Struthio camelus: one gene and its partners. The protein of the gene in region 4 interacts with the protein of the main gene of each other region in a pairwise test. Links are inferred from orthologs where the notes say so. Each region holds a gene or a part of one and is shown on either strand. Other genes may lie near its edges. The genes, in order: TRIO, GOLGA4, KIF5A and EXOC1.

Region 1 (7,847 bases), on a different chromosome or scaffold from region 4:
GAATTAGGATTATCTAACTGTAAAAAGAAAAATAAACACTTTATTAGGCTGAGGTTAGTCAACAGATGGCTTATAAGCCACCAGTAGTCTACAAAACATCAGATGGTTGATGTAATTTCTACATATAATAGAAGTATCCTTGACATTGACAAGCCAGTACATGCCATGCAGCAGAAGTGGGAGCGGGATTTTTATAGAGCTAGCACATCTCTGAAATGGTGAGAATTAGAAAAACTGTGGTTCAGTTATAAATAAAATCAGGAGGGTTAACATTTTCAGTAAATGACATGCAAAAACACACAAGGTGGTCTGCAGCTTATTAAAAAACTCCGTGGTTCTTTGCTTAAGACTTGACAACCATGAGCATATGAGCAGGAAAGCTTTAGTTGTAGTGACCATCAAACACTGACCGTATGCAGTTTTTGACTTAATTGTACTGAACTTCTCCTTGCAGGTGCTTAGCAGGAGTTATCTGTGAAATGTATGTGTTGGCGGGTGGCAGCGGTGCCGTTCCAAGTTTGTAAGGGGATGTCAGAATGTGAAAGGTCTCACTGGTGGAAGCAGGTGGAAAATATTTTCAAGGTCACTGGCAATATTTTACATATGTGAGAGGTAGTTCACACCATCTGCTATCAGCTACTAAACATTTAACTGCTACTCAAACAGTAGAAAAACTAATGAAGAGGCAAAGGCAGAAGTTTCAAAAGCTGATGGAACTCACCACATAATGAGATGGGAACCTGATTCGATAGCATAGGGAAATGGAGCATGCAGACATAGTACTGTGGAAGACAACTACAGTGCATTTTCAAAAAGACATGGATGTTTCTGCAAAAAAGGGGAAGACAATAACGATAACTTGGAAAATGCCTCAGTGTTACTCTACAGATAAGAGAGATATCTTGTACTTGGAGAAGTGAGAATAATTTGAAATTGACAAATGTTGCTATAACACCAGCACTATTTAGATTAGAATCTGATAGCAACTGGGAGGTGGTACGCATTAATAACTTGGGTTGCTTTTCTTAACTGCTGCAATCTTAAAAGAAGCCTTGTCATCTAAAAAGCACAGTAGCAGCTGCTCTGGCCTTCTCTACTGGCTTCTACAAGTGCTTCTGCCCTGTTTTATAGATTCATTTGAAATCCCCTGAAAGCCTGCTGCAGAAAAATAACATTTGTAAGAAACAGTTCTTGTAGGCTGGCTACATTGAAGGGAAGTCCACATACCTTTTTCATTAAAGAGCTGTCCATGTGAAAGTCTTGTCCCCACACTATCTTTCATGTTCTAAGGTTTTGTTTGTGAAATAAAACAGTCAAGCATGGGAACAAGTATGAGAAATGAACTCTATAGTAAAAACACATTTTTTTCACAACTGAAGGGTTTTCTTGTTCAGAGCAGGGAGACGACTCTGACTGACCACGAAGGTCAGTATCATCCTGTGCCTGATAGCTTGCCCACACTAATGAGTTTCTAGGTTACTTCTTCTGAAAACTCATAAATATCAGTGATTTTAAATGAAATTGTTGCCCTGTTTTCTTTAATATCTTACAGAAATGGGGCAATTTTTTTTTTTTCGCTTCACCAAGTGGACTGCAAATGGTGCAGGAAAAGAACTTGAGCAATATCCAACTTGCATGTTACTTTAGGGATGAAAGATGATGTGACCCATGACACTTTCCAACCTGGATACAGAGAGCCAGGCACTGCGCAAGCTTCTTCCCTCACAAGAGACCTCTTCACCAGCAACAAGGATGTCTGTGCGATGATATACTGATTTTAGAGCAACCATTCAACCTGACTAAGACAAAATACAAGGAAAAATAAAGACCGTTCAAAGGATAAAACACTTAGGGCATTTCTTTTTCTCAGGCTTAAATCTCATTGAACAATCTGCTTATACAAAGTAAAATGTTTATATATATTTTGAGTAGCTATCTAAATTAAGCATGATTTCAACATCTTTGTTTTTTAAAAATCCTTCTGTGCAATTTAAAGACACTTGTAATTTGAAGCTCAGCCTTGGCAGCACTGATGTTTAGCAGGTCTCAGCACCCTTAAAATATCTTTTATATGAAGAAGAATATTCTTTCCTTTCCTGCATTTACCATTGCAATTGGTGCAAAACCATTTGCACGTTGACAAACATTCAGACAAGTAAAGTGGAAGTTGAAGAGTATGACCGCTCCCTAATGCCAGGTTGCAAAAGTAGGCAAGCTTACACAACTTTTCAATTGAACTTTTTTTCAGTTTTCAATATGCAGCGTTCTGCACACAGACAATTCATATCTTGGCTTTTTTTGTTGCGTTTCAAGCCTGAAATGATCAAGAAGAAATGGACTAAGAAACTTGATTCCCTAAAATTTAAATGTTAAACCCGGTATCTGAGATCTAAGGTGGATATCTGTGAAGGAAATCCTTATTTTGTTACAATGCATTAAGTAATTGGTCATAATGTGATGTTTCTGTCTTAATGTATTTCCTGTAACCTATCCTTCAACAAATGTTGGATCATCAACCTTAGAGCGCACACAACTGTATTGCTATAATCCTTTTGAACATTGCAAAGGATATGAGCAATATTTGGTTGCTGAAAGTCCGTAAGGATCATCTTTGCCACAGGTAAATAACTTGCGGCTGATCAGTCTCAGCCAAAGGACAGAACTAAATCCTATGAGGTGGAAATCACTTCAGATTCTTTCAGTTTCACAGTGGTGAGAGGGTCTGTTAGTGGGGGACATGATTCATGGTTCCTGCGTGTTCATGAAAGACAAAACCAGTATCTCCTGCAGATGAAGGAAATATGAGAAGGGACAAAATTTCAGTCATATAGCCTTCAAAATTGTTTAAATGAACCTTGGCTTTTTAGCACCCACTGGCAAACTGTACCGTATGCAGGGTGAGCAACTTGGTGGAAACAAATGGTCACTATCTTATCTTCAATAGCTAAGGTACAGAACAGTCTCCCAAAGCTAACATTGGCACAATCGGCCTCAAATGACAGTGAACTTCACACTATTGATCTTGCTCCTGTTTCTACAATCATTACTACTTAATTTCCACTGCTGTACCTAATTCAAATTCTGAAACAAATCATCTCAAGCACTCCTTGCTCTGCAGCCTCTGACAGCTCAGTTTGTTGAGATTCCAGGAGATTACTTTTTCTTTACTAATTACATTAGCTAGTATCCTTAACTTACCCCATTCTTTCATATTGTCCTGCAGTTTCTTCTGTGTTGATGTACAACATCCTACTCCTACTTCCAGGTCAACTTATTGCTCGCTGAGGAACAGCGGCATTTGTTCCAGTTGTTTTTTTGCTCACTGGATGCTGCTAGGCCAGCCAGAAAGGAATTCACCCTGCAACCACTTCTGCCAGCAGGGTGCCAATTTGGGACTCTCTCCCAGGCCCACTGCCTCAAAGAAAGACGTTTTTCAAACTTCTTTTCAGTCAAAACTAATCTCTCCTCTATAAGAGAAATTAGGGCAAGGGTAGTTGCACAAAAGCTTTTTCATCAAGCTGTACGACTTGAGCTAAACACCAACCTTGGGAAAAGGACGTCTGCGTCGCCCAACTGTGATAAATTAATGCAATACCACATTTCTCTTGAAGTTACCTTTGCTTTTAAGACTTATCAAAGGTTCAGGAGGTTAATTCTTGGAGCTACGCTTCTGCTTTGCAAGTGTGCTAACAAGCTACGTTTCTGACACCAGCATTTGAGCTCTGTTACTCAGTTTTATCAGTCTGTGCAACTGCTAAACTGCCTTCCCCACCTGCCTCTCTTCCACCTTACCGGCCCTCCGCCTTATTCCGGCAGTCTAAGGGGGCTGCGCGGGGGCGCGCCCCCACCAAGCGCAGCCCCAGCACCTGACTGAGCTGGCCGTCACGAGCTGCCCGCTCCCGTTGCGTTCCCTGGACCGGGCCGCGATACAGAACTCCTCAGAGCTGCCCTAAGATCACTGAGCAAAAATCAATAAATAAATACGTAGTTACAGTACCGACAGCGAGGTAATGGATTGCTTCAACGCCTTTAAAGTACTCGACGAGCTCGACCTCCTCACAACCTCATTTTCACAGCTCGGCTGCCGTGCAGGAGCGGCGCGAGATAAAAACAAAGAGTAAATAAATAAAAAACCCCCACGGCGCGGTCGCGCCCCCGGTGGGCGCCGGGCAGCAGCCGGCCACGCCCCCGCCCCCGCCGGCTCTGCGCCCCGCCCCCTCGGCCGCGCCCCTCACCTTCGGCCGCGCCCAGCCAATGGGAAGCGGGCTCGGCGGGAGGGCTGACGCGCTGCACCGCCCCCTCCCGAGCAGCGCCGGACGCAGCCGGAGACGCCCGAGCTCCCCCCGCCTCCCCCCCGGTTCCTCGGGCGGGGCCTCGCTTCCTTTCCCCGCTATCCCCTTCCCACTCTCTTCCCGGGCAAGATGGAGGACGGCGGTTGCTGCGGCCACCAGCGCCGCCGCGCCTAGCGCAGCTGCCGCTCCTCCAGCTCGCTCTCTCGGAAGAAGGCTGCAGGCGTCCCTGCTCTCGCCTCCCGCCGGCTCCGCGCCGCGCCGCTCGCCGGCCCTCCCCATGCCGTCGTCGTCCTGCTGCTGCTGCGATTGTCTGCGCCCCGGCTGCCGCCCGCCCGCAGGCGCTGCCGCGGTGCCTGCGCACGCCGCCGCCGCCGCCGCCTAGGTGGCTGCGGGGGGGCGCTCCCGGGGCTGCCATTCCGCGCATACCTCCATGTCCCTGCGCTCGCCGCGGCCGCCAGCCGCCGCCCCCGCCCGAAGGAGGTGAAGCCGCCCCCCGCGGAGCAGAGCCCGGTGCGCCCGGCCCGCGCCGCCGGCCGCGGAGGAGCCGTGAGCGGGGCGGCGCGGTGGGGGCGCTGCTTGGGGGTCTCGCCCTCCGCCTCCGCACGCAGCAGCCATGAGCAGCGCCGCCGCCACCGCCGCCTCCAGCGCCGCCGCCACCACGGCCGGCAGCGGCGCGGGGGAAGGGGCCGAGGAGGCGGCCAAGGACTCGGCGGACATAGCGGCGTTTTTCCGATCCGGTGAGTGCGGCCCCTTCCCCGGGGAGGGGGAAAGGGGCCGCGGCCAGGCCCGGGCTGGAGGCGGTGGCGAGGCGACACCTCCCTCCCCCGAGAGAGGGCAGCCGGCTTTGTCAGGTGGCCCCGGGGACGGGAGGCTGGGGTGGGGGGGGATGTCTGCCTTCCCTCCCCTGGCCGGCGGCGGCTGCCCGGAGCGGGCGGGCGGGCGGGCGCCCCTGAGCGGCCTCGGCTGTGTCCGTCTGCCCCGAGCGCTGCCGCTGCACGGAGGGGCCCGGGGGGGGGGGCAGCGCCCCTTCGCCTTGGGCCCGGCAGCTCGCGGGCGTCGCGCTGGGAGAGGCGAGGCGTTAACGGCCGCGCGCGGGGGTGGGGTGGGGGGGCGGGCCCCCGCTGGCAGGTGCGTTAACGGCTGCGGGCGGGGCGGGCCCCTGCTGGCGGGCGCGTTAACGGCCGCCGCGGGTGTCGTACGGCGGCGCTTGGGGCAGGCGGGGTGTCTCTAAAACCGGGGGGGGGAGAGGGAGGTGCGGCCCTGGCCCGCCGAGGGCGGGAGGCAGAGGCCGTCCCTCGCGTGAGCGGGGCAGGGGGAGCTGGGCCGCGGCGCCGGCCGGGGCTTCCCAGCGGGTTGCGAGATGACACTGCTATAAAAGGCAACGCGCGGCCCGTCACGCCGCGCCGGGGCCGCGTTGCCGGTGGCGATCGAGGACGGGGGTGGGAGAGGGAAGCGTTCAAAACGGGTATTTATAGCGCGAAGGGAAGAAGGAGGCGTGTGTGGTTTTTTTTTTTTTTGGGGGGGGGGGGAAGAAGCGCTAAGGGATTTCCCTGCCTCCGTGAAGGAGGAGCAGCAGCAGCGGGCGCCGGGCTGGTGCGGTTCGCGTGCTCCTGGCTGTGCTGCCGAGCTGGAAAGTCTGGCTTGGCTTTGGAGAGACTAGGGAGGGGTGGGGGGGGATGGAGCCTGCTGACAGCCTGCCGGGATTAAAAAATGGAGGCCGCCTCCTCGGTCGGTGTTTCCCCTCGGTACGCCGCCGTCCTAAGGGGGACGGGGTCGCCGGCGGCGGTGGCGGCGGCTGCCCGTCCTCCCTCCCTCCCATCCCCTCCCGTCCCCTCTCGTCCCCGGCGACCGCACGGCACCCCCGGCCGGTGCACCCGGGCGGGGCAGCAGGGCCGGGCTAGGCACCGACTCCGTTTGGATGCCTAAAAAGGAGCGGGCCAGGAAGGAAAATGCAGACTCACCGCTGGGAAGAGGAAGGGGGTGGCCAGTTTGGTGTGTAAAATAAATCAAAATACCCCCCCTCGCCCGTGTTAATTGCGTTTCTAAGGAAAGTCAGAAGCGGTGTAATTGGTGCTGCTCACAATCCATGCTTGTTGTTGGATCTGCCTGGTTTAAGGCAGATGAGGGAAGAGGTGTGATCTGCAGTAGGCATCACTGAAGCGAGGGTGCTCAAGGCATGAGTGTGGACAGACGGTCTGAATGGTGAGTTAAGACTCCTATGGAGTGTCTGTGATGCTCCCTCCGAAACCTGTTTCGCGTGGCGGTGATGAGTGCAAAACTTGTCGAATTGAGAGAGAGGCTGGCCTCAGTGGATTTCATCGTGGAAAATCCATTTGTTCATTCTCAGCAGAAAGAATCATGTTGAAAGCAAAATGATGGATGCCAGTACTAGGCTTACAGTCTGCCTAGCATGGTTACAAGTAGGTACACATTGTCTGGTAATCCTGTGGTTTTGAAGGTCCTGCCGGCGGTATTAATAGTTGGCTTCCACATTTGCGTGTGGGTAGAGGGATAACACAGACTCAATTAGCTCGTGAGCTGTGCAGCAAGGATTTCTGATGCAGATGATTTTCGATAACAATGAAGTTGCATTAACTCAGTCTTGCAGTAACTGAAAATCTCAAAGCAGTAGAAAGACATGTCAAACGCTTATTGAAAACCTCTTAGAGTGTATTTAACAACTATGGCATTCTCATTTCTGTGCCTGTAGGGGTTACCTCGTTCAGCCTGGGCTGTGACATACCCTGGAAAATGTTCTAGCTTCTCCACTGGGATTTGGTAGTGGGGAAAGCTCCTTACGTTCTGTCTCCGTTCTCTAAGTCATGATCCATTCTTCTGTGGTCCATTGAGTGATGTTGGTGCTTCCCTTTGTTTGGATAGGAGGTATCTTTTTTTCACTTTGAAACACAGAAGGGAGTGTTTTGAAGCAACAAAGTGCGGATGGACATAGCGATCAATGAACAGGCAGAAAGCTTAGTTTGGTGTACGTGAGTACAGACAAAATATTTTTCTCTTTACAGTATTTATGATGACGAATGCTTCCTTTTTCCTGTCATTTGCAGAGAGTGTCAGCAATCTGTAGCTGTTACTTAAAAGAGAAAATGAACAAAAACATTATGGTGTTTTCCAGGAGGAAAATTAAAATCCTGGACAACTGGTCCGTTGCACTGCCAGTGGGATTATTGGGTTTCCTGCTGTCCTTTTGTAAGACTAAGGCCGAGGTAAAGTTAGAGCAGCCTAACAAATGGAGTTTTGTTATTTGGCAGATATTTTGTTGGAGTGTTTGGTCAGCTGCTAGGTTCACATCACTTGAAATGTATACGTTTCCAGTCTCTATTTTGGTTATGTAAATGTAAAGTCACTCTGAGTTGTTGTGTAAAGAAGTTGTGGTTGAAATTCTAAGAGAGGTTCCAGAAGAAAGAAGCTAAACTGGAAGTGAGGTGTAGTGTGAAAACCTAATGTACTGTGAATTTGAATGAGGAATACCTTTACAGGAATTGGAGGAAAGTGAGGCAGTGTACTGTGTTATCTAGTTGATATCTAAATATTTTAATC
Region 2 (7,033 bases), on a different chromosome or scaffold from region 4:
CACATTGCTCGACAAAGACCATACATTCCTGAGCAACCTGAAATAAGAACTCTGGCATCGTAAACCTATCTAGCTTCTAGCTGCCTCTGTCTCTCTTGCAACAGCTCATGTACGCACGGAACTCAGCACAGTAAGCAGAAAATTATTTGCTCTTTTGTCAGGTTAGTTTTCTGCAGACTCAACACACTGAAACGGCGGAGGGAAAGGTCTGACAAGCACTGTAGCTGGCACAATGCAAGGAATAGGACTGTAGGGATGTGTGGACCACTGTCACTGTCACTAACAATTAGAGCAGTTTAGACTGCTATTAAAACACAGTCTTTTACATTAATGCTCTACTCGCATTCCCATGGAGGTATATTAACAACTGCCACAAATTTATGTGGGAAATGAACTTCCCCCTTGGTAACCTACCATAACCAGTACATGCTAGCAGAAGCGTATTTTTATCCTTCACAGACAATACAAATGTCAAATAATGGTCGTTTGGCATATGGTGTAACTAAGGAAGATAAAAAAAAAAAAGAGGAGCAAATCTTCATTTTCAATTACTACTTTCTCACTTCACATAGAAGCCTACTAAAATCAAATGAACTTTCTGCAGATAAAGTACTATCCAGCTATGTAAGGGATTTTGACACCCAACAGAGGGAAGGAAAACTGGTTATGGTTACAGACAATTCCTCCAGAACGATGGAGTTTGGAGTAATTGGTTTGTATATTGTAATAAAACTTGCTCAGGAATTACAGAATTTAAAGCCTTTTTAGAAGACTTATGATTGTATCTTGCAAAGTTAGCAAAAGTATCTTCAGAATTTGTATACTGTTGCTTAATGTGAGATATCGCTTTATATTATCTAAGCGGCGCTAAGACACGTAGCTGCGCATCACAAAACACAATTTTGTACCAGCTCAAAAGTAAAAAAATTCATTCCTTGTCCATGATCTTTATGAAATGCCACCAGCTTATATATGATAAAATGATACGTACAAATATTACTTCACCTCTTCCTGAAACCCAGTTTAAGCAGCTTTGGGGAACAGGAGATGACTACGCCTACTGGAATTTAAACAATAAAACACCGTGCTGTTGTGAAAAATCCTCTGGAAAATGTCTAATTGCCATGTGATTACCATGTTGAGTTAGTAGCATTACAACTCATGAACCGAGTTCCAATTAATCAATCATCTTACATTTTCTATAATGTAGTTAGTAGGATTTTTAGTATAGGAGAAAACTTATCTTTTATTATAGTCCCTAGTCTCATTCTTTGCTCCATAGCTTTCAATCCTATGAGAAACACGCTTCATAATAAACATAACACACGAACTACCTCAAGCTTTAGATTTTCCAAAGAAATAATATAGCGCTCCTTCTTTTGCGACGGATACATATTATGAAGGAATGAAGAAACCTATATAAATAGGGGGAAAAAACATTAAAGAGAAAAAAAAATAACAGAAGTAAGGAAAGGCAGTGGCAGCTGTAATGGAAGACATGAGAGAAACAGAGAAAAGAAGAAAGACTGCTTACCACATTGATATCTCAACAGATAATCCACCAGGATAATGCTCTGCAAGAGAAGAGGCAGCTGCAAGCTCTGCTTTTTCATCTGATAGCTGCAGGAGCTACTTTCCTTTCAATACACATCTAATCAACAAATTCAGATTTGCATTTAGTGACTTAGATTTTAAATGAGTGTACTTACAGATGCTGAAGGCGAGAAGAGAACGTGTGTGCTCAAGATAGAGTAGCAGACATGAGAAAAATCACAGATTTATTAGGACACCCAAGGGTGTAGTCCTAAGAGGGTTTCCCAGAGCATTCCTCAGGCTAGCAAGTGAGAGAGGCATTGCCTTACTGCTGCATGCAATATTTAGAGAAAATTGACTGAAGTAAAATTGACGGAATTTATGCTTTTTTATGAGCTGCAGTAAGCTTAATTGTCCACTTTTTCTCATTTCTTTGCAGATTGCTATTCAGCGAAGAATAGCAATATTTTTGCCCTCCTAGTCCTGGAGACTCTTTCCTATACCTCTGTTTCCAAGCCCACCTATAGAAAAGAGAATATAAAAATCTTCAAAATACATACATGACTATTGTGGCTTGTAGGTTCAGACTAGCTTCTGGAAAGGTGGTTCAAACCAACAGATAGCCATTCCTAACAAGAAATCAATGGACTGCACAACACTGCTGCCATCCAAAGTTTTCATAGTAGTCCTAAGAGGAAGATCCCTACCAGCCTCCTAGTTTATCTGCAGCTAAACAGACCACTGAAAAATTATTTTTTTTTAATACATGTAGCAAAAATTAAGAAAAACTTACTGCAGTTTGTTTGTTGCAGCATTTCTTGCTTACTTTTTCATTCAGTGTTCAGCAAACAATATCCATTTGTAACAGAGTCCATGTTTACTTGTATAAATAACATACCTCAGGTTTACAAATAGAATAGTACTCACAAGTTTTCAGGACAAACCAAAAACATGACTTAATTATAAGCAGATAAATTTTTAATAAAATACAAAAGCAACTTTCGAGCATGCTTTAGTCACAAACTTTCACAAGCCACAATTGGCACATTGCAAAAGTGCATGAAGCTATCGCTAATCACCACGGATTGACAGTGTCATGCAAGGGCTTATACACTCCTATGACTAACATTCTGGCAAGTCAGCTCATTGCATTATTTCACCATACCCCCTCAAGATGAAAAGGATTGCTTTGTAATGGTTTATCCACCCATCCGGAGAACAGCCATTACGGAAGAAAATAGGGGAAAAAAAAAAAAAAACAGCACAGAGCTGAATCATCTTCCACTTCCTTAACGTGGAATTAGCTGCATTTTTTTTCCTAGTATGTTTTTAGCTACAGAAACGAACAGATTAACCCTAACAGCACAGTACAGCACGAAGGCTTGGGCGGACCTTTTCCCTTTTCGACTTTACAACGCACAGGAGCTGCAGTAAGCTGAAGAGCCACGACGATGGGCTCGCTGCCTATGGTCAGCTACTGCAGAGCAGACCAACGGCGCGGGGCGGCTCGCTCCTGCACCCCTGCCCCACGCGGAGTCAAGTGGTCAGAAAACTACTTTCAGACCTCGACCATCAACAAAATAACATTGCCGCGCATTGTTGGCTATCGGTTCTTTCTTTTAAGGAGATGCTGAGGTTACTGCTTTAGTTCCCGTGACAACAGAAACGCCGAGACGCCACTGGGTGCTACCGCGGTTTAAGGATCGCGCTGATGATGAGGTTTAACCCATGACGTTAAGTGGTTTCTGTGGCCCCTAGGACAACGAGCAGCAGTGGAAAGGGAAGTAACCCGGCACAGACGTGGCTTTCCTTGTTGCCAACACCCTGCTTTTTTCCACCTTCCTGACGGACAGAGGTAGCGGACTGCCCCTCCTCCCGGCGGCGGAGGATTAACGCTTGGTGGCCGGGAAGCGCGAGAACAACCAGACCGATAACCGCGATTCGCTGAAATCGGTGGTGCCTGCTGCAGTAACGGAAACGGGAAAGGCCGGAGGGGGAAAGGCGCCGAGGAGATGCGGGCACGTCGGAGCCGGCCGGCCGGCCGGCCTTCCCCCTCCGTGCCGCGGCCCCCGCCCCGCCGCAGGCCGCCCGGGCAGGAGGCAGTTGGGGGGCGGGTGCCGGTACAGGCGGTTGGCGCCGGATACCCACCCGGGGCGGGGCGGGGCAGGCCGGGCCGCCTACCCCTTCGCCCGGGCTGCCTCGGCGGCCGCCGTGAGGGAGGCGGAGCGGCACGGCGCGGCGCCGCCTCGCCTCGCCTCACCGCGGTGCCCCGCGCGCCAGCCCCGGCCGGGCTCGGCCTCCGCCTCGCGGGGCGGGACACGGCCGGCCCCGGCCCCGGGGAGCGGGGCGGGGGGGAAACGACAGGGAATCCCTCCGGGAAGTTTGTGCCTCGCTGCGTGCCGTACCGTCCCGTCCAGCCCGCTCAGCTCCACGTTGGCTGCGCAGGCGCAGTAGCCGCGGCGTTCACCTGCTCCGAGTGGGGTGTTGGGGGCGGGGTGGGGGGGGAACGGGGACCCAGGAAGGAGACTCGGTGGCGGCGGCTCCTCGGGGAGCAGAGCGGGAGGCGCGAGAGCGTGGGTGCAGGGCGGTAGCACCCTGCTCCCCTCCCCGCTGCCGCCGCCACCATGTTCAAGAAGCTGAAGCAGAAGATCAGCGAGGAGCAGGCGCCGCCGCGGGGCGCGGCCGGGCGCGCGGCCCCCCACCCGCCGCAGGTACCGCGCGCCGCGCCGGGCCCCGCCCCCTCCCGCGCGCCGGGGCGAGGGGCGACGGGCGGGGGAGGGAGGCGCGCGCGCGCGCGCCTCCGAGCCGTTGGGGGGGGGGGGGGCACCCGCGAGGCGGCGCGCGCCGTGGTTGCCGTTGAGGGGCGGCAGGTGCTGGGGCGGGGGGGGAGGAGGGTGGCGCAGGCTGTGGCCGAGGCGGCCGGCTGGGAGGCGGAGTGCGGTCCTGCCCCGGCCGGGACGGTGACAGGGCCTGTGCCGGTGGTCCCTGAGCCTCCCCCGCCCCTCGGCGGCCGGCTGAGAGAGCGGGAAGGGTGGAGGGCACGGCGGCACGGCTCGCTGTCGGCATGGCGTGCTCGGGGCCTAACCCCAAACGCGAGTTGCGTTGTTACCCAGCTGCCTTGTGTCTCTGAAGGCTGGAGAACTGTTCCCTCCCATAGGCCGCTCCACAGAGGTTGTCTTTTGGGGAATTAAAAAAAAAAAAAAAAAAAACCTCTTGCTTAAAAACACCAAACAGAATTGAACAGAAGTGGGTTTTTTATTTTTTGTTTTTTAAGCAGTTAAAGGAGTAACATTTTAGTACGCATTGGATAACCATCCAGCATGGAGATCACGGGATCATCTTTGATCCACCACCCCTTAGAGCGTATTGCACTACTAGCTGCCTCTAGAGGAGCTAAGTTTCATGACACAAAAAAATAACCAAGTAATAGAGTGGGTTACTTCTATTCGATTGCTTTTTGGTCCCTGATGAAATTTGATAAATGAAGTCATTGGTAGCTATTTAAAAATAATGTAAGACCCTCGTGAAGTCAAACTTGCAGCTTCAGAGATTTATCTTCCTCTCTACTTAATGTCTGTTCTTTCAACTCCTGTAAATCCCTTCTGTTACCATAAATTAGAGGGCTGTTTTGCTTATTTTAACCTTATACTTTTTTAAACGTAGAAAAGCTGAGATCAAGGCATCTTTTTTTTAGTGATAATTTAATTGATCATTTTTCTCCTGTATGTATTTACATACAAGTGCAATTAGTGTTGGCGTCTAGAAAACTGCAGTTCTTAAGTGACAGTATTACACATGTAGATTTGCTGAGGTTACGAAGCCTAACTGTGAGAGTGACAATGGCCAAAAAACGTAGTCACTTGATGCAATGTGTTGAAGCAGAATAAACTTGTTATATCAGATTAAATTTGGTAGAAGAACTTGCCAAGTTAACTCTCTACTGGCGCACTTGATGTTGCATCAGGTATTGTCTGCCTGCATGTCTCTGGCTTCTTGCTGGGTTAAGCGTCTTTTGCCTTTCTGAAACCAATGTAAAAACATAAAACTGGCATAAACTCTGTATCTTGTGAATGGCAGTCTATAGGCAGACAGTCTGCCTAATTTGACAGAGATGGTTGGTTGCCTAGGTGTGATCCGGATGTAATTTGAACCAGCTGGTGAGTGTGCATTGCACAGTCCTAGTATGAGATCATAGTTTCAAAATTGCTGATATCAGCTACTTAACTAATAGTTTAAAAATTGCTCGTTTATCAAATTGGGGTAGTATCTTTGGCAAAGGAGTAGAACTTTTGTGAAGTTTTATGTAGCTTATCTTTTTTATTTTTAAATCATTTCACAGCTATCAACTCTGAATCTTTTCTAACATCTATAGCTTGGTCAGTGGCAGCTTAGAGCAACGTACTGAATGGGCATGTGTGGTGGGTTTTTAGTGCAGCATAAAGAGATTTAACTGCAAAATTATAATATTATTGATGCACTGCAGCTTAATCATGTATCTTTGACACAGTATTGTAACTCACTTAGTCCAGAACATGCAGTTCATTTGTCAGAGGATCAGTACTTACTAAAAACCAGCCTTATGGATAAACTTGGGCTTGAGTAAGTGTTATTGTCACGCACATACTCAGCAGCCTTTATTTATCTATCAAAAACATCACTGGGAGCTATTATGAAATCTTATTAGAGCTTATGATAAATGATATTTTCGTCTGTTTCTCTATACTATTGATAGAGTAGATCAGATCAATGTTTGGTGTGAATTGAAAGGTAGAAACAGAAAATGTTAACAAATTTTTATTTTATTTAAAGTATTTATCTGGCAATGTTGCTTATTCTTAAAATGATCTCAAATATCAGTACTTGAAAAATTGAGTTAAGCTTGATCTTAAAACTAAAGGATTAATCTGCTCATTCTTCAAATGTCACAAGAAAACAGATAGTGTAAGTGAGGAAGGACAGAGAAGGTACTGAAGGGCCTGTAAAATGTATTGGATTCTCGCAGAGAGTATGGAATAAACTTTTGGCCCCTTGCTTTTAGTAATTTACATGCTTACATAAGCTGCACTCCGTTTATTGGGTACTCTGTGTTCATTTTATAGATTATCAGTCACTTTTTATCAAGGCATTTTCAAACAAAAATAAAAATATTCACCATTTCTTAATATTAAAATGCTTTTGTTTATATTCACTTTTGTTCTTTTCCTTCCTATACCCTATTGCAGGGAGTCTTTCTCTGAACTCTCTGTACTGCTTATTCTGTCTTGTATATGTTTGTGTGTGTGTGCGTGTGTGTATCTATTTTTTTAATCTATCCTGGTATTTTTTTCCCACTGCTTCTCCTACCATACTCTATCTGCTTTATGCATGTCCTCTCCCCTAGGACATAAACTTGTTATTTATACGCTGGGTTATGATTGTCTGAGACTAAATCCACCAGCCTGCACCCAATTAAATCCAGAAGTAACATTTATCCAAGGGTAATACTAAGGTGAACGCTTTT
Region 3 (7,986 bases), on a different chromosome or scaffold from region 4:
ACACCCCCAGTCCTCCAAACACTCTCAAGCCTCCCATACACCTCCCATACACTCCCAGGACCTCTATACCCCTCAGCTCCCTCATATTAGCTGTCATGCACCCCCAGCCCCCCATATACTCCCTCAGGCACACTCAGTTCCCCATATACTTCCAGACCTCACACCCGCCCTTATACAGTCTCAGCCTCCCATATACCCTCAGGCCCCCCAAATGCTCCCACAAGGACCCATGCCCCTGTATATTTCTACCCCCTCAGACCCCCCCCCAGAAACCATAAACACCCCCAGCCCCCATACATCCCCCTAGAAAACCCTAGACCCCCCCATACACCTCCTTGGACACTCCCAGCCCCCCATGCACATCCCAAACATCCCTAGATCCTCCTACACCCCCTCAAATACCCCCAGACCCCCATAGACCCCCTTGGACACCTCCAGTCCCCCCCCATACATGCCCTAGAGCACCCCCAGCCCCCCATATACTCCTCAACCCCCCCAGACCCTCCATACACCCCCTAATCATCCTCTCAGACCCCTCCAATACCCCCATACACCCCTCCAAACGCCCCCCAACCGCCCCCTCCCCCGCCGGCCGCGGGAGCTGTCCAGGCCCCGGTGCTGAACCGCCGCCGCCCGGGGGACACACAACGCACGGGGCCCAGCCGCACAACCGCACAACCACCCCCAGCACAGCCGCACAGCCCCGCACAGCCACCCCCAGCACAGCCGCACACAGCCTGCACCGCACGCCCAGCGACACAACACAGCCGGCGAGGCACAGGCACGACGCAACCAACGCAGCAACACGCAGCCGCCCTGCGCCGCACAGTCGCGCAACACAACCAGCGCAGCAACACGCAGACCCCGCCGCACACAGCCACGCAACACCCCGCGCTGACACAACCGCACCCAAACCCGACACCCCGCACCGCTACACTCCACCCTGCACTGGCACAGCCACCACTGCGACACACAGCTTCAACGGCACACAATCACACAACACCCTGCAATGCACCGGCACAGCTGTGCACCGACACAACGCCCCGCACTGCCCCGACCCGACACAGCCGCGTGGCACTGCAACACCTTGTGCGACAACACCCAACACAGCTGCACCCCCACATGACACAGCCGCAGAGCTACACAACCCCCAGGATCCCCCTGTCCCCTCCGGGGGAACCCCCTGCCCCCCCCCATGCCGGGGCTGGGGGGGGCCAGGCCGGCTGGGCCGAGGAGCCCCCCCGAACAGGAACCCCCCCCCCCGGTGCACCAGGCCCTATTATAGGGGGTTCCCAGCTCCGGTTCCAGCAGCTCCCCCCCCCCCCCCGGTACCGGGGTGGGGGGGCTGGTAGAGCCTAACAAAGGGCCGGGCAGGGCCGTGCTGCAGGGAGGATCTGCGGCAAACTGCCCCCCCCCCCCGGGCCCGATCCTGCCGGGGTGCTGAAGCACTGACACCCCCCCCCAACCCCGGGGCATCTGGGTGTCTCCACTCGCTGTAAACAGCTGCCCCGCCTCGGGGGGCACTGGGACAGACTGGGGGGACTGGGGGCACCCAGAGCCCTCAGAAGGGGAATGAGGGGTGCTGCGGGGAGGGGGGGGGAAACGCCCTGGGGGGAGCTACGAGGAGGCTGCGTCCCATCGTGCTCTGGGTCCCCTCGCTGCTGACCACACCCAGGGCGATTCCCCCTCCTTATTCCCCCCCACAGGTACCCCACTGGCTGGCTATTTCCCCCCAATCCCCCCCCTCAGCTGCCTAACCCCCCCCAATCCATGCCTCTGCTGCCTATCCTCCCCCAGGCACCCCCTCGACTGGCTATGGCCCCCCCAAATCCCCCCTGGCTGCCTATTCCCCCCAAGTACCCCCCCAGTTGACTATTTTCCCCCATATCCCCCCTCAACTGCCTACTGCCCCCCCCCAAGTACCCCTCCGGCTGCCTATCCCCTCCCAAATCCCCCTCCCAGCTGCCTATTGCCCCTTCAAGTACCCCCCCGGCTGCCTATTCCCCCCCCAATCCCACCACAGCTGGGTGGGCCGGGTCCCCCTCTGCCCCACTGGGGGGATCTGGGGTCACTGTCCCCCTCCTCACACTCACCCCCACCACGACGCTGTCGTCACCCTGGAAGACGGGCAGGAACTTGTCCCCCCGCAGGATCTCGGCCTGGTTCAGCGGCCGGAACCGGCACAGCACCTTGATGCTGCACTCGGTGCTGGGCTCCACCATGCTGGAGGGTGCCGGGGGGTCCCGGAGGACTGAGGGGGGGTCTCAAGAGGTGGGTGCTACCCAAAGGTGTGGGGTGCTGCCCAGGGATGCTGGGAGCGCCCCTGGGATGCAGGTGGTACCCGGGGATGCAGGTAGTGCCCAGGGGTGCTGGGGGCTACCCAAGGGTGTGGGGTGCCACCTGGGAGTGCAGGATGCTGCCCAGGGGCCGCGTGGTACCCAGGGGTGTGGGGTGGCACCCGGGGATGCGGGATGCTACCTAGGGGTCAGGCAGCACCCACGGATGCAGGGTGGTACCCAAGGATGCAGGATACGACCCAGGGATGTGGATGGTACCTAGGGAAGCAGGTGGTACCCAGCGGTGCAGGATGCGACCCAGGGATGCAGGATGCTGCCCAGGGATGCGGGTGGTACCCAAGGATGCAGGATGTGACCCAGAGATGTGGGATGCTCCCTAGGGGTCAGGCAGCACCCAAGGAGGCAGGATGCGACCCAGGGGTGCAGGATGCGACCCAGAGATGCAGAATGCTCCTTAGGGATCGGGCAGCGCCTAAGGATGCAGGATGCGACCGAGCGGTGCAGGGCGGTACCCAAGGATGCAGGATGCTGCCCAAGGATGCAGGGTGGTACCCGGGGATGCGGGTGGTACCCAAGGATGCAGGGTGGTAGCCGGGGATGCGAGTGGTACCCAGCAGTTCAGGATGCGACCCAGGGCCCGGCGGCGGGTGCGGGCGGCGGCCGGTGCTCGCTGCTGCCCCGTGCTCCAGTGACCGCGGCGCCGCCGCAGCCCCGGTACCAGGAGGGGGAGGCCGGGCCCCCCCGCGCACGCCCCCCCCCCCCCGTTAAGGTGGAGCCGCCCGCGGCCCTTAAGGTGGACGGAGCCGGAATGGGGAAGGGGGGCGAGGGTTCCCCCCCCCCCCCCGAGTGTATTCCCTTCCCCCAGCAAGGGCAGCCCCAGCCTTGCCACCTGCCCTCCCCAAACTGCTGATTCATCAAAGGGGGGGGGCTAGGACGCCTGGGTCCTTCTCTCAGCTGGGGAAGAGGCTGGGGGGGGGGTTAGGATGCCTGGGTCCCTTTCCCAGTGTTTGGAGGAGGGGGGCAGGACACCCGGGGGGGCCTTGACCCCACAGAGGGAGGGGGCCAGGACCCCAGCCCAAAGGCAGCACTGGCCCAGCCGCAGCCTCAAGGGCATTTACCCCCGGGGCTGGCTGCAGGGCTGGTCCCCCCCCCTTTCTCTGCCTGCCCCCCCCCCCCCGGCAGGGCATCAGCTCCCCTCCCCCCAGCCCCGGGGACCCAGGAGTCCTGACTCACGGCCCCCCCCTCCCCCAGCCTCCTCCGGGCACTTGGCAGGGCCTAGCCCAGAGCTGAGGCCTGGCACGCTCGTGTCCTTGGTGGCCCGTCCGGGCCTTGGGCGTCCAGCTGGGGGGCAATGCAGGGACAGCTCATGGCTGCAGCACCCCTCCCCTCACCCCCAGGGACCCACAAACACCCGCAGGCAGCGCCTGCACACACCTTACGGGGGGGGGCACTCACACTCAGAGGAGTGTGCACTCACCCCCACCTCATGCGCTTTCACGCCCCACATCAGCGGTGCCCTGTGTGCACTCCCGGCAGTGGGCACTCACCCTGGAATGTGCCCACCCGGGGGGCCGCTCCTACGCTCTTGTGTGGGCGCCCACCCCCGCCTTTGCACACGCACACCCGCGCACACTCACCCTGTGCACTCTGACACTAGTGTGCACTCACACCCATGTGCACCCCCACCCCTCTGCACCCCGACTGTGCAACCCCCTGTGCATCTCCCCATGTGCACCCACACCCCTCTGCACCCCCAGCGTGCACCCTGCCCATGTGCAACTCTCTGTGCACCTCCCAGCATGCACCCTCCGAGGGGCACCCACACCCCAGGGCACCCCCACTGTGCACCCCGCCATGTGCAACCCTCCGTGCACATCCCAGCATGCACCCTGTGGGGTGCATCCACCCCGCAGGGCACCCCCAGTGTGCACCCCCCATGTGCACCCACACCCCTCTGCACCCCCAGCGTGCACCCCCGGGGTGCACCCACACCCCTGTGCACCCCCAGTGAACCCCCCTCATGTGCACCCCCAGTGTGCACCCCACCATGTGCACCCACCCCCCCCCTGCACCCCTACGTGTTCCCCCACCCCGGGTGCACCCGCCCCCACCCCCGCGCGCAGGGAGGGAAGGGGGCGCGCGGAGAGCGGCCCCCGCCCCCCGCCCCCCGCCCCCCCAGCACTCCGTTTCCCAGCGTGCCCCGCGCCGGCAGCTCTCGCGAGACTCGTTCAGTCCCGCCCGGCCCCGCCCCGCCGCCGCCGCCGCCCGGCCCGACCCGGTACCGGTACCGGCCCCGGCCCCGGCCCGGCCATGGCCGACCCCAAGTACGCCGACCTGCCCGGCATCGTGAGTGCGGGCCGGGCCGGGCCGGGCCGGGCCGGGCCGGGCGGGGGGGGGTAACTGAGGGGATGAGGGGGCCTGGGGGGGGATCGGGGAGTCTGGGGGGTCATTGAGGGGATGGAGGAGGCCTGGGGGGGGATCGGGGGGTCTGGGGGGTCATTGAGGGGATGGAGGAGGCCTGGGGGGGGATCGGGGGGTCTGGGGGGTCATTGAGGGGATGGAGGAGGCCTGGGGGGGGATCGGGGGGTCTGGGGGGTCATTGAGGGGATGGAGGAGGCCTGGGGGGGCATCGGGGGTGTCTAGGGGGTAACTGAGGGGATGGAGGAGGCCTGGGGGGGATCGGGGGGTCTGGGGGGTCATTGAGGGGATGGAGGAGGCCTGGGGGGGGATCGGGGGGTCTGGGTGGTCATTGAGGGGATGGAGGAGGCCTGGGGGGGGGATCGGGAGGGTCTGGGTGGTCATTGAGGGGATGGAGAAGGCCTGGGGGGGGGATCGGGAGGGTCTGGGTGGTCATTGAGGGGATGGAGGAGGCCTGGGGGGGGGATCGGGGGGTCTGGGGGGTCATTGAGGGGATGGAGGAGGCCTGGGGGGGGATCGGGGGGTCTGGGGGGTCATTGAGGGGATGGAGGAGGCCTGGGGGGGGGATCGGGAGGGTCTGGGGGGTCATTGAGGGGATGGAGGGGGCCTGGGGCTTTTTGGAGGTAGCTGAGGGGATCGGGGGTGTCTGGGGTGGATCCAGGTGCCTGGGGGGGAAATTGAGGGTGTCTGAGGCTTTTGGGGGGGGCCTGAGGGGATCAAGGGTGGCTGGGGGGGATCGAGGATGGCTGGGGGGTAGCTGAGGGGATTAGGGGGTGCCTCGGAGGAATGGGAGGTGGCTGGAGGGGTAGATGGGGCATTTGGGGAGATTGGAGGTGCCAGGAAGTGGGGGGGTATTTGAGGGAGTCCCCCCCACTTGGAGGGGATCAGGGGAACCCGGGACAGTAACTGGGGCATTTGGGGAGAAAGAGGGCACTTGGGACTGTTGAAGGGGAGCAGACCTGTCCAGGGGGGATCGGAGGAACCTGGCACAGTAACTGGGGTGTTAGGGAGGTGCCGGGGGTGTCTAAGAGGGATCAGGAATATTTGGGAAGACTGAGGGTATGTGGGGGAGGGTAACCGCAGGGGGGTGTCCATGGTTGAGGGGGCACCTGAGGGTGTTTTGTGGGGGGATTTGAGGTGTGGGGGTAACGGTAGGGAGCGCTGAGGGGATTGTGGGCATCTTTGATGGTGAGAGTGATGTTACTGGGGTGCTGGGCTGGGTGGTTGTGGGTGCTGCGAGGGTGACCTGACCCCCCAGGGCCGGCCCCGCGCCACCACCCGGTTTCACCGGAGCCCGTTTACATCGCCAGGCCAGGAACGAACCGGACGTGTACGAGACCAGTGACCTGCCCGAGGACGACCAGGCCGAGTTCGACGCGGTAAGGCCTCGCTGGGGCCGTGCCGCGCGGCGGGTGCGCGCGAACCTGCCTGTGCCGCCTTCCTGCAGATGTCCGGCACGCCGGGACCGGGAAACGGCCCTTGTCCCCGCGCACGCCTCTGCAGCGCCACGTCCCCCCGCCACGGTGCTGCGTCCCAGCGACGCTCACCCCCTGGTCAAACTGCAAACGTTTTCGGGGGGCCACGAAGCGCTGGCAGGGCTTAATCCCTGCCCAGTGCCGGGTGGCTGTCCCTGTCCTTGTCCCCAGGGTCTGCACGCGGTGTAACGCAGCTGAGGGCAGCAGGCGCGAGCAGGGCTGGCGAACCGCCCCCCCCCCCCCCATTGGCTTTGCCAATGGACGTGAGCCTGGTTGGGGGGCCGGGCACGGGAAACGCAGGCTGGCAGCATGCGGAGGACAACAGGGGCCACGCCGACGGGGGTCAGGCCCCATAAAAACAGCCCCAAATAGCAGTAGGGTCCCGCGGCCCAGCCCTGCGCCGCAGCCCGTTTGTTGCATGCAGGCCGTGGCTGTTCTGGGAGCGATGCGTGCCACGTCCTCGAGGCTGCCAGCCTTGACCTGACCGTGGTGTCCCTGAGATGGGGCTGACGCCCAGGCAGGGCTGGGTCGGCTCTGTCCTCAGGCTGCCGAGCCCCCGTCCTCGAGGCCCTGCGTGTTATGGCACGAGGGACGCAGGCAGGGCTGCGTTGCGGCCAGGCGGCTCCCAGCTCTGCCTGGGAGGCAGGGCAAGGGCTCCCGCTCGCCCGCGCTCCTGGCCGAGGCGGCTCCCGGCCGGAACGACTGCTCTGGCCACCCTGACGGAGCCATGATCCCCACCTTGGTGTGCTCCCGGGGACGCTCGCTCGGCCCGGTGCTCTGCCGCGTGCGTGACGTGCGCCCTCCCGGCGCCCCGCTGCCTCGTGCCATTCGCGTTGCCTCCTTGCCTCGGCCCCGCGGATCCCAGCTGGCGCTGCAGATCCTTTTCCCTCCTGCTGCCTGCCCGCCCACTGGGCCCCGCTTCGCCGGCACGTGCTCCCAAGCTGGGGTGGGGGGGAGCCAGGCCTCGACGGCGCGGGGGGCGAGACCCGGCTTCTCGCCGTGGCCCAGCTGGTGTTTGAGGGGGGGGGGGGGGAACGACACGGGACAGCGCAGCCTCGGCCCCGTCCTGCCACGTAGGGGTTGGTGTGACGCTCCGCGTGCTGCATGCCTGGGCCCTGTGTGTCGGAGCTGGATGGCTGCAGCGGGAGGACGCTGGGCACTCGGACTCCCGTTGAGCGGTAAAAAAAACACGACAGGGCAAATTGGCACCTGCAGGCAAATGCATCCCTGCTGACCCCCATGTCCTGGCAGGTTCAGTCAGTAAATCAGACTGAAATTGGCTCTTTTCACCCCAAACAGCACCAGTCAGGCCTCAGATACTCTGAAGTCGCCATCGGTGATACAGTGGTGCCGTGTCCGTGACTTGCCTCCCCTGCACCCGTTTTCCCCGCCATGCAGCCCCAGCTGTAGGCAGGAGGCAAAGGGTTAACCGGGATTTTAATTCCTCCGGTTTCCTCTTCTGGGAGCCTCGCCCTTCGGCTGCTCCAAACCGGAAGCGGTGATGTCCTACCCCACGAAATAAAGGATTTAGGGCCCCTTGGCTGGGCCCAGAGAGCTGCCGTGGGGGCCCGAGGACGATAACGCCGGAGCCGGGGAGCCGCGGGTGCCGCAGTCCCTGCCGGGCGGGTGCCAGGCCGGCGGCTGGGTGTGGGCTCTGCTGCGGCGGCCGCCGGCATGAATTAGCAATGCTGCCTTGGCTGGCGCACGTCCGCGCCTGCTGCGGGAGCCCTGCCGCCTGCCGGCCCGGCCCCGGCTCGCCAAAGCCCCTTGTACGGCTTAATCATGTTGTCTCTTGC
Region 4 (7,658 bases):
CATTTCAAGGGAAACTAAACTTTTGAATCAAAATTTACACAGGACTTGAACCAGAAAAAAAGTACTGGTTCTTAGCACAAGTACTATACAGAACCTAAGAGACGCTCACAGTAAACTGGGAAGATATTCAGAATATTTCAATTCAAGCATACCTGCACTACTCAGACTCAGTTTACTAGGGTTATATTCTTGGGAAGGCTGGAAGAAAATACAATAAACATGTATCATCTTAAACCCAAATTAACACATTATCAGTCAAAGCTGTATGACAATGAATAGCCAAGTTAGCTCTGACTTGGAAGTAAAAGTGTCCCAAGTAGAGTTCGCACTAAAAGAAGTTACACATACTTTAACAGCATCTTTGGCATCAACCACAGCAAGATCTCGAAGCGCCCACGCAGTCTGTCTTTTGTAGAAATCTCCCTTGTCAGACTTTTTCACTTTTACCACGTTTACTTGCACTGGACGTTCCGTTGTCACTGTTAAATGAAGTATAAGAGCAATTTTGAAACACTCAAACTACATTAACATCTGTTTCTGCTATACTTAAGCTTATTTTATATCTGATGAGAACAGAGCCCTCGAAACAAGTTTCATCCTCAATACCCACAGCTCAGTTTAAATTTCAGTCATCCAGATGTGCAGCTCTGCACAGCTTCTCAAGTCCTGAAGCCAATTTATGCCTATTTCTTTGGTGCAGCAGAACTATGGCCGCACTGCCACATCACTGAGGGAACAAAGAAGTCAATGGAGATTCTAGCCTGATTAAAAATGCTTTCTGAGATTCGTCATAAAAAAAAAAAAAATCCAGTCAGCTAATTTACTGATAAGTTGGACAAAAGCACCTTCTTGGAAGAGGTGTAATATAAAGGACGTGCTCTCAAAGGAACATTAGGACTCAGTTAAAATCCTGTGCCTTTCCAGATCCCTCTGTCTTGGACTCTAACCAGCACTCCTTGCTGCATCATGTTTAGGCTGATCAGTCTAGAGATCTACTAAATCTCCTTTTAAGCACCATACAAGGCCTGCTTCACAAGCCCACCCAGTCCAACACAAATAATTTTGATTCCTTCCTTGCAAGTTACAATAAGATCTGAGAGTAAAAGCAAAGGGTTTTGTTTCTGTTTTAATAGAAGCAATAACAGATATAAGCTACAACTAATTTTTCCATTAAAAATGGAAGCATCTGTTTTATAAGGAGCGAGAATAAATATTGTACATAAAGCTAAGAAAAAAGCAAGTGAATAAAAAGGGTGAAAACAAAAATATCATGTGGTATTACGACATACCCGTGGCACATAAAAAGCAGTTTCTCTTCTTTTTGCCTGCTTTGCATACATTCACAATGCTCAACAGGCGTTCATCATTGGGAGTGAAAATATCCCTTTGTAAAGCATGCTTGATTGCAGTCATTTTCTCCCAGCTGAAAAATTTCAAAAATTCATACTACATTCAAGTAGACTGAGGAGGCTACTAAAACATACAATAAGAACATACGTTTAGGTATAGCAACTACAGTTTTTAAAAAATACATTTTACAGGTAATTTAATGAATCATAATCTAGACATGCATAATATAGATAGAAGTCCAACTATTTTTGGAATAAGTCCAAGATAAATTTTAACAATTAGTAACCCAAGTGCTTTGGGGGAAAAGGGCCAATATACCAAGCTGAAATCAGTACTGCTAAGCACTCAAGAGTTCAGGATATTCAAGAAAAATGCTGTTTATATGACATCTCTACGGCACTGTAATATTCCACCGTTAACGGCTTTCTAACACCTTTCCTCTCCTTTCAAATGCTTGGTCCAGCTTCTTCCAAAATTGCTTCAGGTTGTCATTTCAGTTATTCTTCAACAGATGTGTAAGATGAACACACAAGGTACCAACAGCCTGCTAATTTTGGAAATATCACCTTTCTCTTCTGGTCAGGACTTCACCTATTGCTCTAAACCACATTCAGACTGACTGCTGCTACTCACTGATCCTCACATTTTTGCTAAAGCAAAGTTTCTCAGCTGTGCAGAATACACCTTTCCTATAAAAGAGGAGACATCAATCCCAAGATCAGATACTTGACATATAGTCCAACTTCTGTTACTAGTTCAACACTGAGTCACAGCCCCAAAACCTTCACTGTGAGTCAGGACCAAGTACATTACTGCAGTCTTCATCCATGACTTACAACCCTTGCCATCCCAGAGCACAGAAGTAGATACAAGAAGCTGGAGACAAAGCTACTTCCTCAGAAAAACGCTTTGAGAGAGCTGAGCCCAATTCAGGCTCCAATAAGTCCCTTGTGGGATTGCTGGAATAATCTTTTCAATACGGTAATGCTAAAGCCTCTTCTGCATGAAATCTATCAAAGACATCATCTCACAGACAGGAAATATATAGGAGAGATTCAACAGAGCAACTCAGCCAGGCTACTTAATGTGCACTGCTTGGCCTCTCTACGTGTGCAACCAGGAAACTCTTAACACTCGTATATCGTATCAGGTAATAACCTAATGTAAGAGCGCGGCCTAACTGTAAAATTCCGGGGAAGCTCGTTCACAGCCAACGGTCAAACAAAAGACCACTCGTGTAAGAGGAACGCTCAGGAGGGTCACTTATCGCAGCCGCGGCTGGAAACCGCCCGTCCGACACCAGCCCCGCCGCCTCCCACCTGCGAGCCTTGCTGAAAGGGCCCCGGGCAGAGACGCGGACCCCCTGCGCGGCCGCTGGCGGCAGACAGGCGCAGCCCCGGCCCGCCCGCCGCTCCGGTACGGCCCCACCCGCGCCCGCAGCCCGGACACGGCCGCCGGGGACCGGAGCAGGCCCCTCACACCTAGCGAGGGGGAAGGGGCAGAGGATGTCGGTGCCGCTCCGGGAACAGGAGCGGCAGCAGCCGCCCGGAGCCGCCTCGCTCTCACCGCAAACCCCGGGCCGGGCCAGACGGGAAGGGAAGCGCCTCCGCCTCAGGACGCGGCGGCTCCGGCTCCGGCTCCGGCTCCGGCCGCGACCCTCCCCACCCCCGCCGCGCTCTGCCCCCAACGGCCGCCGAGCTGCGCCGCCGCGGCCCCCTCCGCTCACGTGACCCTAGCACCGCCCCCCCCCCCCCCAGCCTAGCAGCGAGACTACACGCTAGAAAGTCCACAGAGCGCCAGGCCGAGTGCGCGCGCGCGCCCCCTACCGGAGAAGTTATGCAACGCACCCGGGCGCCGGGGGGAAGGGGGCGGGCAACGAAAGAGGGAGGGGCGGGCGAGCCAGTAGGAGGGCGGGCAGCGCCAGGGGCGGGGCTGGCGAGGGCGGGGCCGGCGGCGGCCGTTAGGGCGTGTCCCCTTCCTTCCTCAGGCGGTGCCCGCGGGAGCGGCGTGTGGCGCGGCGGGGCTTGGCGGGGGCGGTGCTCAGCCGGCCTAGGCTATAAAAGCCTAGTGAGCGGGTAGGTGGCATTGCTAGGCTGAGGCTGTAATCGCGTGGTGGCTTTTAGGCGTTGCCTGGGTGCCCTCTAAATGTCTAAGCCTGAGGTGAACCCCTCTAGCTCCGTAGCCACTCTCTGGCAGGGGAAATGGTTGGGCAGGTTCTCACGAGGCCCCTGTGTTTCTCTGGTGTCTCGTTGCCTTGCAAAAAGGTGGTCCTGCTTCCTTCCCCGTGTTCCCAGGTGTATCTCCCTGAGGTGGTTTGTGCCTGCTTCTGAGGTGAGTTACTTCAGCTCATGAGAGCAGAACCTGAAAAGCTTCCTGGGAGGCTGAAGAGCTAGGGGGAAGGTGCCCCCTCCAGCAGCAGTGAGCTGTTAGGTTCGGCCAGCTGTTTTGTAAAACATAGCTGTCTGTGGTAATTGCAAGTCATAAAGTAGCAACAAAAATAATGCAGACATAATCTCTCTGTGTTACTAACTGTGATAGGTGTTTTACATGCAAGTATGAAGGCTGAACTCTTGTCCCCCAAAGAGTTTGTAGCTGAATAGTTAAGTAGTATCTTGGGAGAAATAACATGGATGGCACCAAAAGCAAAACTGATACAATGTCAGCTAGTTTCTGATGTCTCTTTTGTCATCAGTTGGCCTCGTGGCAGAGTTATTAAGAAGTTCTACATCTTTTAGGAGATAAATGTTTTTAGGGGAGGAAAAAGGCTCCTAGATGTTATTCTTTCCATTCACATTAGCTTTATTATATCTAGCATGGACTGTCAACCCTCGCTTCATGTATCCTCTTACCCTTGTTGCATCTTGGAATAGCCTTACCCTAGTTTATGTTATCAATGAATTAGGTTAAATACAAGTAGCACGTTCTTTGTTACAGGTCAGTGTTTTCTCAGATCCCTGTCTAGCAACTCTCTGGACAGATTGTTTTGAGACCTGCTATCTAAATAGTTGCTTCTTGCTGATTACCTGTAGTAATTTGTGATGAGCTAGAGAAGACTTATCAAGGATCTCTGTCTACAGATACCATGAAGCATCTCCCTTCCCCCAGCAGTTGACTTGCAGGAACAGGATGGGAGTTAGTTGCTCTTCTCCTCTCTCATAGCACTTCTCAAACTAGTGGAGGAGGTTTCAACTAAAATGTTTGAAAATTATATCTACTAAAAATGGCTCACTAATTTATTATCATAGATAGAATTTAGAGGCTAGCCAGAACTCAAGAATTGCTTCTCTTTCTCTTAAAACTGTGGGTGGATTTCTACTGAAAAATTCTTGGAAATGGGATGAACTTTCATAACACTGAATCCTAAATGCAATTTTAAATGTAAACAGAAGGTATTTGAGATGGTAAGATCTAAGCATGTCTGGATCCTTCTCCACAGCTTTTCAGGAAGTAATCAGTCGGTACAACTGTGTTCCATATTTACTGCTTTCCCTCCTCCATTTTTTTAAACTGATTAAACTGTTCTTATCACAAATGGATTTTTAGGTGTATGATACATTAAATGAATATTTCGCAACTTCTCTGTGGAGATCTAAAAAAACAGTACAGTCTTTAAAATGCTTAGTATGACCTAACACTTTTAAAATGAAGTCATGAAGTTTAAGTAATTAATACTCTGCACTTTTTGTTGCCTGTCATACACAATGCCTGAGAATTTAACCATTAATGGAGCTATGCATTTTCAATTTCAAAAAAAGGTGTGACCTTTACAGTGTACATAAAAGAAATGCAGATATATCTGGTACTGAAGGAAGTTTCTTAACATTGTAACATGGCAGTATTTCAGAATTTCAAGTGACAAAGAATTTTATATCTGATTGCAGCTGCAAGGGAACAATTATAACTCTAATTTGGCCACAGCATTAGGATTGATATCACTTCTTCTATGAAAAGCACTCATATTTTGGCTCTCCCCCGATCCCAAAGTGCCATTAGTAATTCAGAGTTTTTGATGCCAGTGATAAGTCAGAGGGAAAAGTTACTCTGTGACTAATTGTGACATCTAGCATTTGGAATATAACCATGAGAAATGATGCCCAAAACCGGGCTTAGCTACTTGTAGCCACCGTTGCATTCAGTGGGAAACCACCTTATAGCTCAATTATTGCTGTGAAGGAGGTTCTTCACATGATCAATATACCTCATTCATTTTTATCATTATTCATATAAATTAATATACTATTTTTTTGAAGGCCTGCGGGCAGAGTTAAGAGAAGACTGAAAACATTACAGATTACTTGAACTATATGATTTATGTCACGTTAATGCATCACTGTGGCTTTAAGGTATGATTGATAAAATCTATTAGCCAGGCCATTACCAATACAAAGCAACAGTAAATATATTTTCCAAGTTATAATAGTTAAGTTGCCAATACATGTGGATTTTTAACAGATAAAATGGTGATCTCATCATTATTCTATTAGCTTCCCGCTTGACTGAAAACATTAAATGTTACTGACCAATACAGTCTTGCTGCATGTACTTTTATTTTCTGACTTACAAAACAGCATGCTGTAGACTTCTTCTGTAATATATCATTCATGAGGGCCAAGGTTAAGAGAGAAGTTACAGTTTGGTAATTTTTCAGTTCACCCACAAAATGAAACTGTCTTTGCCTGGATCTATAAAGACTAGACAAAGCAGCCATAAAGGATTGGATAGGTTTGCATAAAGCTTTTACTGTTAACAGTCCAAAACCCTCCTTGTTTTCTGTCTTTAGCTGTTCATTCTGCTTCAGTGCAAAAAGCAAGATTTAGTTGGTTAATGCTAAAATGTGGTTATACTTGTTAAAACAGTCATTATGAGATCATTTTACAGTATGCACAGTGCCATTCTCTCTCTCCTCCTATTTCAGCTTCCCATAGATTCGATCTTCCAATATGAGCCTTAACTTGTGAAAAAATATTCCAAAATTACATATTACAAATTACATGATACACTCCCATTTTACTGGGAGAAGATACAACAGTTATACTGTGAAACTAACTGAAAGTATTGGGGAATAGGCAGGTGACAGAGAAAGAAGTAGTATGAGGAGAGTAGTGGCATACTTGGGATGAGATGAGTCAGTATATGTGTGACTCCGGTATGCAAAGGAGAACAAGAACTTGAAGTAACAGAGAAGTCAGTCTGGAGCAGGCCCTGGTCTGTTTCCCTTCAGAAATGGCTTTAAAAAGTCTGCTTTGATCCAGGACTGAGCTTTCCTGGTTTTAGACCTGTGGATTGGGGGCAGGAGGGAACAGAAGCATAAGTTCCAGCCTTAATGAGAAGTAACTGTTCATTTTCCATATTTTCTTTATATAGAATGTAGGAAAAGATTAGTTATCAATGAAAGATAAACATACAGGAAGAGAATTCTTCTGTTTTAAATATAAGCTCGAGGCTCTTAGCTGGTGCAATGTTATCTTGCATCCATGAATACCAGTGTAATATCACCAGTGTATTTTTTGTTGATTTGGCACCATCTTCTCTAAATGTTGATATTAAGTGCTCTTTGTAGTACAGAGCTGCAGGAAATTTATGAATCATTTAAGTACAGAAAAAAGGAGATGTATATGATATCAGTAAGTATTACAAACAAAATATTCCTAAATCCTTTTTCTTTCCACCTGTTCTTATTTCTGATACTGGTTTAAAAGTTAAAATACAGGATACTTCTTAGGACAAAAAGCATCATCCATCTTTTATGAGAGATTCTCTTCTCTCTCTGCCTCTTATCCAAGTATGCATAAAAGTCGTCTTTGTTCATTATCACGCTTCTTTACTTTCAGGCTGCTAGATTTTTCCTTTTCTCTGGAGCACAGATAGGGCAGATAGCAATTCCTGTATTCTGAATGTAGTCTACATAGAGTCTTGAGTAAGAATGCACTCCATCATTTAGTTGACACCTTTTATAGGAATGCTACAAAAGCATTTCTGATTATCCTTTACTCTCCTATAAGTTTCTCCCTATTCAGTTTTGGAGAAGTCTTCCAGAAGAAGCAGATGAATCCCAAAATACTGTTTTTCAAACTACACTGTATAACCAAAATCAGGAAATGTGATGTAGAAAACAATTTTGAAAGATAAATCAATTCAAAGATTGGCTATCTAGCCTGTCAGTTTTTTCTATTTAAAATTTAGCATATTCTCTCTCTCATGTGCCCCAGCTGTGCGATACTAACCACAAAGTGAGTCTGCCGCACCTCAGGACACAGACTTTCTACAGTGCAATCAGATCAGCCTAGCAATACACAGTGTGTTTGATA

The links.
Region 1: the proteins of EXOC1 (region 4) and TRIO interact in a two-hybrid assay, tested with the Homo sapiens proteins (2 studies listed by BioGRID and IntAct). The link is inferred for Struthio camelus from reciprocal best matches to the Homo sapiens genes EXOC1 and TRIO.
Region 2: the proteins of EXOC1 (region 4) and GOLGA4 interact in binary tests that used the Homo sapiens proteins (3 or more experiments, as listed by UniProt). The link is inferred for Struthio camelus from reciprocal best matches to the Homo sapiens genes EXOC1 and GOLGA4.
Region 3: the proteins of EXOC1 (region 4) and KIF5A interact in a two-hybrid assay, tested with the Homo sapiens proteins (2 studies listed by BioGRID and IntAct). The link is inferred for Struthio camelus from reciprocal best matches to the Homo sapiens genes EXOC1 and KIF5A.

What each region holds. Positions count from the first base shown.
Region 1 is NC_090943.1:82,825,932-82,833,778, forward strand, and holds the start of TRIO (triple functional domain protein), read left to right. Parts: upstream 1-4,834; 5' UTR 4,835-4,905; coding exon 4,906-5,029; intron 5,030-7,847. UniProt on the Homo sapiens protein: Guanine nucleotide exchange factor (GEF) for RHOA and RAC1 GTPases. Involved in coordinating actin remodeling, which is necessary for cell migration and growth. Plays a key role in the regulation of neurite outgrowth and lamellipodia formation.
Region 2 is NC_090943.1:54,286,070-54,293,102, forward strand, and holds the start of GOLGA4 (golgin subfamily A member 4), read left to right. Parts: upstream 1-4,017; 5' UTR 4,018-4,157; coding exon 4,158-4,244; intron 4,245-7,033. UniProt on the Homo sapiens protein: Involved in vesicular trafficking at the Golgi apparatus level. May play a role in delivery of transport vesicles containing GPI-linked proteins from the trans-Golgi network through its interaction with MACF1. Involved in endosome-to-Golgi trafficking.
Region 3 is NC_090969.1:2,321,173-2,329,158, forward strand, and holds the start of KIF5A (kinesin heavy chain), read right to left. Parts: upstream 3,013-7,986; 5' UTR 2,810-3,012; exon of another isoform or gene 2,252-2,809; 5' UTR 2,223-2,251; coding exon 2,094-2,222; intron 1-2,093. Other genes in the region: DCTN2 (dynactin subunit 2), read left to right, coding at 4,608-4,643, 6,026-6,094. UniProt on the Homo sapiens protein: Microtubule-dependent motor required for slow axonal transport of neurofilament proteins (NFH, NFM and NFL). Can induce formation of neurite-like membrane protrusions in non-neuronal cells in a ZFYVE27-dependent manner.
Region 4 is NC_090945.1:56,369,987-56,377,644, forward strand, and holds the start of EXOC1 (exocyst complex component 1), read right to left. Parts: upstream 3,008-7,658; 5' UTR 2,917-3,007; exon of another isoform or gene 2,670-2,916; intron 1,424-2,669; 5' UTR 1,414-1,423; coding exon 1,290-1,413; intron 480-1,289; coding exon 349-479; intron 1-348.